2 linked regions of the Oryctolagus cuniculus genome follow. The protein of the gene in region 2 purifies or fractionates together with the protein of the main gene of each other region. This does not show direct contact. Links are inferred from orthologs where the notes say so. Each region holds a gene or a part of one and is shown on either strand. Other genes may lie near its edges. The genes, in order: LIG3 and POLB.

Region 1 (3,484 bases), on a different chromosome or scaffold from region 2:
AGTTCATTTTTGTTTTCTTTAAAAAGAGGGTTTGTCCCTGGCAAACAAAGGGGACGAGGCTGAATGCAGGTTCTGCCAGAAGCGCTTCTGAGGGCAGTCTCTGCAGCGTGACATAGAGGAGCCGGCACGGAGGAGACTCCGCAGCCCAGCCTTCGCTCCTTAACTGCTAGGGGGTGGGAAAGGACAAAGATACTAAAGGTATTTGATTTATAAAAAACACCAAACTTCTTTTTAAAGAAAACAAAAAGATGACAAAGCCAGCACCCAGATCTGAAAGATCTATTTAAGCCAGCAAGAGAAACTGACTGCACTCGGGGTACCCAAGTGCAGAAGAGACCATGAATATAGTCAGTGGGTTTGGAAGACGCACTGCTTGCAGGAGAAAGCCCATACCCCCACCCCCCTCCCGCGGCTCCTCTGTCTACTGCCTCCAGTCCTAGCAGGGAGCTACCAGCCTCCGTTTCCGGATGCATGCCCAAATCCACTCTGGGGAGACCAGCTGGGCCTCAGAATTCTTGTCCCTGCTACCCAGCACGTGTGTGGCTGAGGCCATGTCAAATTCCTGTACCAGGTCTCCGTTGAATGCCACAAAATAGCGTCTGAGGCGGCTGAAGTCTGGTGTGGAGGGTGGCAAGTAGAGCCGCACCCCAGTGAAGATGTCCAGCAGCACCTGCAAACGCACAGGGGTCAGGGTGGGGTTGAGCCTGCACTGGGCGCAGATGGGGCTTTACCCACCGAGTACAGGACAGCAAATGCAAGTTGGACACGGAGGGAGCTGAGTTTAGGACACTGGCAGAGTTTCCAAGAGAAAAGGCAAGGCATCACTTGGTGCCATCCTTCAGTCATTCCACGTGACATGCCATTCATCCCTGCCTAGAGGTAAAAGATGGGACCACGTCTCCAGGAGCCATCCAGTGGCTCTCGGACTCAGTGCCCACAGATGCCGTGATAGCTCCCAAAGATCAAGCAAGTTCCTCTGCACGACTACCCGGGCTGTGAGGGTCAGGACTCCTGTTTGTTACTGTGCCTGGGCTCCAGGGTTCTGGGCAGGGGAAGGATGGGAAAGGTTTCCCCCAGTCTGGGTTCAGGACCCAAGTGCTCGGAGTGTGTGCTTCGTTTGGGTGGAGGCAGGGCAGTGGGGAGCACAAATCACACCGTGGAGTGATCGCAGGTTTACTTCTCTATCTACTCTTTGGGCCACCAGCTCCCCAGGCTTGAGCCGGCACTGAACCTAGTTGTGGCCTCAGTGGGTGCTCAACTGATGTTGCCAAACCAAAGACTGACAACTGCGCACGGAGAAAGGCTCCTCAGCTGGAGGAGTCACCAAGCCAGTGCCTTCTCCCGGGCTCCGTGATGGCTGCACCTGCTCCCGTCCTCGCCACAAACTCACACCACTACACTCCCATGCCCAGACTGGGCTTGCTCCCTTTTATTGGACCTTGGGACCAGCAGCTGTGGGCCTTTGCAGCCTCTCCTGGCTAGGCCGGGCTCTATCTCCTGCCTGCTGGCACAGCTCTCCTTCCTCTCTGCTGTCTGGCTGGCCGCCTCTGCCTCTGCAAGGCAACAAGAGGGTACAGGGTGCAGCAGCAGCAGCACTGCTGGCCCTGCCCATTCCCGAGAAGCAGTTGTAGGAGGGCAAGGGGTTTAGCCAGTGTTTTTCAAACACCCTTGCTCAGTTTCAGAGTTCACGTCCAGGCTGGGAACACTACCCTGGACCCAGCTGGCCCGCCTGGGGTTGCTATGTCTGTTCTTACCTTTGCTTGGCACGGGGGCTCATCAGTAGCTTTCCGCTTCTCCCCTACTTTCACCGGGGAAGACTTCCTGGCTAGCTTCTCCTCCAGTTTCACAGGGGAATGCTTTGTGCTCAGCTTGTTGCCTGCAGGACAGAGTCTGGGATAAGAACTACGAGGATAGGGACTGTTGATAATGGTCTCTGGGACAGCAAAGGGAAGGGCCAGACCCTTCTGCTGCTAGGAATGTAGGAGAGGGGGAGAGAATATCAGCTAAGCCCTTGAGCTTCAAAGGGGCTTAGCCCCTGCTCAGATTGGTTCCCCCAGGAAGGCATCTTTCAAATTTCCCAAGCAGATGGAGTGCCCAGCAGGACCGCTTCTGGCCCACGGCTGGACACAACAGCAGGAATGCAGTCAAGGTCAGCTTTATGGACACAGAGAATCACATGACCTCAAAGCTGGACCCTGAGGCCAGGCCCGGGCCCTTCAGTCTCCGCCTCACAGCACCCTCTCCTGCTTACCGCCTTTGCCGTTGGCATTATTCTGCTTCCCTTCAGCCTTCCTGGCACTCGCAGAGGGCTTGCTGGGGGCTTTGCGGGACACAGCAGGTCCGGAGGCACCCTCATTCTCACCACTGCTGCCCCCTGTAGAGGAGCTCCCCTCATCTCCAGCCACTACGGTGAAGTCTGCTTTCTCCTTGGACAGCTGATACAGTTCCTGAGGAGTGCAGGAGAATGACAAGGGTTTCACTCCCTCCCCAGACACAGGCCTCAAGTGGTGGGTGTGGTGGCGTAGGCACTGGTGGCTGGGAAGAGGAGCTGGCTTCCCTGGTTCTTAGTGTGGCCCTGTAACTGAGTGCTCAGGATGCCCACCACTGGTATCTGTGCACCAGTTCCTAATCAACACAGCAGGGACCCTGTGGAGAATGCCAGGCTGGTCACTACTGGGAGCTGTTCCTGGCCTGGTGCCAGCTGGGTGTCCCTGTCTTCCCACTGTCTCCCTGAAAAGGGGGAAGGAGATGAGAGGGTGGGTGAACAGGGCAGATGCCCACGATGGGACAGTGGGGTGGGGACACCCACGGGGCCCAGTGCTGGCACCTTGAGTTGTGGGAGGTTAGTGGCAGATTTCCAGTCCTTATCGTCCCGGATTCGTGTGCAGCGAGGGAATCGGATGGAGATCCCGTCAGCTGTGTGAGCTTCAGACTTGGAGAATTCAGCCCCTGTGATCTCCCACACAGCAGCTTTCTGTCAGGAGCAAGGCAGACAGGTGGACACTGGTCAGGAGGAAACGTCTCCCATCCAGCTAGAAGCAATACAGAACAGTTAAAACCCACCACGTCCGGCTAAGAGCTGGCAGACTGGGCTTTTAGGAAGCCTTGTCTTCTCGTGAGCCAAGTGCTTCTAGAACAGAGTGGTGGGTACTGGTATTCTTCCTCCCTGTTGAAGATGACTCCTCAGGACCCCACCCTGCCGGGTACTGGCTAAACTCTCTAGACCCCAGCCTAGGTGGACTTGCATTATGGCTGAGATGGCTCCTCTGTGGCACCAGAGCACTTGCCATTTGATTTTTGCGGGCAGGACGATACCTTTGGGTCTGGAACAATGAAGTCAGGATAGTAGATCTTGTTGATTTTCAGCCAGCTGGGTATTTTGCTGGGATCCTGGAGGAGAAAAGATGTTATTCTGGGCTGTCAAGCTTCAAGCCTCTCTAGGTAATGGGATTATGAGAAGACTGGTCCTCCCTGTCCCGAGGTA
Region 2 (3,909 bases):
TTCATGGTTTTAAACTGTATTCACTGATGTCCTTATACCAGTTCTGTAAAAAAAAAAAAAAAAAAAATTTGCTCCCGTTTCAGTTCAGCATAAAAGCAGTGACCTGTTATTTTGCCCACCTCCACACATATCCAACTATCCAACTCAGCAATCTGGTGATGGAGTATACCTCAGGAGCTCACTGACGGCATCCTGTCCATAATTTCAACGGGAAATACGGTTTTGTGTCAATGTTGACAGAAAGGTAAGTCAAGAGCATAAATATTGGGACAGTCTTTGGAACTTTGCATTTTCCTTCTGTTCTAGCACACACAGACCTTTAGGTTTGGAATTCAACTTCTTTATGAACATATAACGATGACGACAGTGGAAAGGACATATTTAAAGGTTAAGGAGTCGTCGGCCAAGGGCAGTGTATGGAGGGGATTACTTCAGAAGAGGCAAGTAGTGCCAGGTACCTGGCATTGTGAGGAAAAGCCTGAAAGGGAGTAAGAACGAGAACATGAAAGGCCTTTTGTGTGCTATGACGTATTTGGATTGTATCAAGGACAAAAGAACATGTCTACATATTTGCAAAATGGGGCAGTGGGGCATCACCTGTTTTACAGAGTTACCTCCCACTCAGACCACACCCCATAAGCAAACTGAATTACTGATGTGATCAGCATATGCCTTGGCACACTTTGCTTCCTTTGCCTAAATTGTTCTTCCTCTCACTTGTCCCCTGATGAACTCCTTCAAGGCTAAACACCTCCACTCTGAAGACTGCTGTGACCCACCCAGAATACAGGGCTGAATACCTCTGATTTCTGTATCATCAAGTGTGTGGACGACAGCACAGTTACATCACATCGGACGTCACAGGAAGTAGTAAGGAAAGCAATGAGCATGATCAGTTTTGAATTATGATAGGAATAGGAAGGGGAGAGCTGAGATAAAAGGACTATGGGACTAAAATCCTGGAGAAAAGCCCAATGAGACACATACGTGGAGTCACTGATGTAAGTTGTATTCAAAGCCAACAACAGAAGGATTGCCAGGGAAAGCGTGAGAGTGAAGAAAGAGGGCTCAGGGGCAGATCTCTGGGAACTATCAGCAATCAAGGCTGAGAGAGAAGAGATGAAGAGACTGTCCTCCTGGAAGCCACGGAAAAGACTTTCATGAACGAGCCAGCGGGGAATGCCGCTGAGAGCCCAACAAGGTGTTGGTGAGAGCATGTCCAGAGAACGGCAGGATGGCGACTACACTCTAACGGGATACGAAATGACTAAGGACTGTGAAGTCCAGAGACCGAATACTGATTATTCAACAAGACTGACGTTAACGCAAGCAAAGAGATAAGGCACTAGCTAGAAGGAAGTTAAGATTGTTTCAGTATTGCTTTTAAGAGCTGAGGGAAGGGCCGGAGCTGTGGCACAGCGGGTTAAAGCCCCGGCCTGCAGTGCCAGCATCCCATATGGGCGCCAAGCTCTAGTCCCGGCTGCTCCTCTTCCGATCCAGCTCTCTGCTATGGCCTGGGAAAGCAGTGGAAGATGGCCCAAGTCCTTGGGCCCCTGCACCCATGTGGGAGACCCGGAAGAAGCTCCTGACTTCTGGCATTGGATCAACACAGCTCCGGCCGTTGTGGCCATCTGGGGAGTGAACCAGTGGATGGAAGACCTCTCTCTCTGTCTCTGCCTCTCTCTGTAACTCTGTCTTTCAAAAAAATAAATCTTAAAAGAAAAAATAAAAGGAGCTGAGGGATGGGATGGGTATTGTGTCACAGCAGGATAAACATATGCTTGGGATGCCCACATCCTGTACTGGATCACTGGTTAGAGTCCTGGATGCTCCATTTCTGATCCAGCTTCCTGTTAATACACCCAGGAAGCAGTAGATGACAGCCAAAGTATTTGAGTCCCCACGACCCACACTGGAGACCAAGATGGAGTTTCTGGCTCCTGGCTTCAGCCTGGCCCTGACCTGTCATTTGTGTACCAGCAGATGCTAGACCTCTTTCTCTCTGTGGTAGGCTGCCTTCCAAATAAATAGAACTTAAAAAGGCAGAGAGCGGAGGGAGTTGGACATGTTTACAGGCTAAGGAGTGGAAGCAGGTGGATGAGGTGACAATGGCTGGGTCCATGTCGAGAGGGACGGGGAGAGAAGCCATGAAGGTAACAGGATCAGTCACGGACCAACCCGATGGAAAGATGTGCCTCTTTGAGCACATCCATTTCACAGCGGAGACCTGTCTCTCGTTACGGCTTACAAACACATCGCATTTCCAGTAATTCCCGTCTGATGACGGGACCAACAACAGGCTCCACTGGTTTTCACTCAGAACTGGGAACTTATCCGAAGGGAGCCCACGGAGCTCTGCCCAAATTCTTCCAGAAGTATTGTGTAAGGAACCACCCTCGCCTTGCCCGCCCCCGCCCCGCCAGCCCCTCGGCCCAGCGTACCGCCGCACTAAACAGGGGCGTCCCCGAGCGCATGCCGTCCCACCTGTAAGCATTGTACTTGTGGACAGCCTGGTTCACGTTCTTCTCAAAGTTAGCGAGTTCTGCAAAGGCAACAAGCAGCCCCGGTGAACGCGAGCGCCGAGCAATCGAGACCCGCGGGGGCTGCGCAGCCTCGACGGACGGCGAGCACCTGCAGCAGCCCCGCGCCTGACGACGCGCTGCAGGGGCCGCCCCCACCGCCCCCACCAGGCTGCCGGGCAGGAGCCGAGGGAGGGAAGGCACCGGGGCGGCAGGAGAGAAGGAAGCCGGCGGGCCCGGCCCGGTACGAACCCGTGAGCATGTCGGTGATTCCGCCGTTCAGGGTCTCCTGCGGCGCCTTCCGTTTGCTCATGGTGACCTGCACCCAAGGGCTCCAGGGTGCGCACAACCGGGGACCGGGCCCCTCTCCCCGCTGGAAGGACAGCCCGCGTCTCGCAAGGTGGACAGGAGGGACCCGGCCCCAGCGAGGCCGGCGCCAGCCGCCGAACAATGGCTGCCTCTGACAGGAGGCGCGGCGCGCGGCGCGCGGCGCGCGTGTGACGTCACGGCGGGCGGGGCCTCTCCGCCGCGGCTGAGGAGACGCTGAGGAGAGCTGGGGGCGCCCGGGGAGGCCGTGGGAAGACGGGCGCCTCAGAGCCCCATCCCGACGGCGTGCTTTCAGGAAGGCCGGCGGAGTTTTGGTTTTGCTTTTAAAGACGTATTTGTTTCTCCGAGAGGCAGAGTTACAGAGAGAGTGCAGAGAGAGCTTCCATCGCGGGTTCATCTCCCCAAATGGCCGTAAGGACCAGGCCGGAGCCAGGAGCCAGGAGCTTCATGTGGGGCCCCCACGTGGGTGCAGGGGCCCAGGGAGTTGGGTTATCCCAGCAGGCGCAGTAGCAGGCAGCTGGATCGGAAGTGCAACAGTCGGGACTCGAACCCTCGGCCACATGGGATGCTGGCAGCGCAAACAGCAGCTTTACCCGCTATGCGACAGTTCTGGCCTCTGTTCCGAACATTTCTTTGGAATTCTTTCCATCGAAGGGGAAAAGCAGAACTTTGGGTCTGACGTATATAAAACAGTGGCGGAAGATGGAGGACCAAGGACTCCCTACTCACGTATAGGAGGGGACTGGGGGCGTCAAAACCTTCATGGAGAAATGGAATGAAAAGATAGTGCCAGTTTTTGACGAACTTTTTGAAGCATCTGCCCATGTGCGCGACAGCAGTCACCAAATAGGCCACGTGGTGTGTATGTGAGGCAACTTAATGCCAGCGCTGTCTGTGGCAACAGTGTGTTCAGCACTGCAAGGCAGCCTTGTGCGGCACAGGGGTCTGGAAAGAAAGCGCGCCACTCTAGGAAGCTTTCCTTGCAAACATCAGGATATTTTATTTCTAATTCCCCTCTCTCTGTGGGAACAAAGTGATGGCAAGACCCTAAGAAAGGGAGGCA

Evidence for each region.
Region 1: the proteins of POLB (region 2) and LIG3 purify together in Homo sapiens (affinity purification with mass spectrometry; 3 studies listed by BioGRID and IntAct, counting the BioPlex papers as one, with this or other methods). This does not show direct contact. The link is inferred for Oryctolagus cuniculus from reciprocal best matches to the Homo sapiens genes POLB and LIG3.

Annotation. Positions count from the first base shown.
Region 1 is NC_091448.1:39,277,604-39,281,087, forward strand, and holds part of LIG3 (DNA ligase 3), read right to left. Parts: intron 3,391-3,484; coding exon 3,316-3,390; intron 2,975-3,315; coding exon 2,828-2,974; intron 2,448-2,827; coding exon 2,252-2,447; intron 1,877-2,251; coding exon 1,755-1,876; intron 1,554-1,754; coding exon of another isoform or gene 1,491-1,553; exon of another isoform or gene 671-1,490; coding exon 437-670; 3' UTR 1-436. UniProt on the Homo sapiens protein: Isoform 3 functions as a heterodimer with DNA-repair protein XRCC1 in the nucleus and can correct defective DNA strand-break repair and sister chromatid exchange following treatment with ionizing radiation and alkylating agents.
Region 2 is NC_091433.1:92,531,363-92,535,271, reverse strand, and holds the start of POLB (DNA polymerase beta), read right to left. Parts: upstream 3,025-3,909; 5' UTR 2,833-3,024; coding exon 2,772-2,832; intron 2,543-2,771; coding exon 2,485-2,542; coding exon of another isoform or gene 2,442-2,484; intron 1-2,441.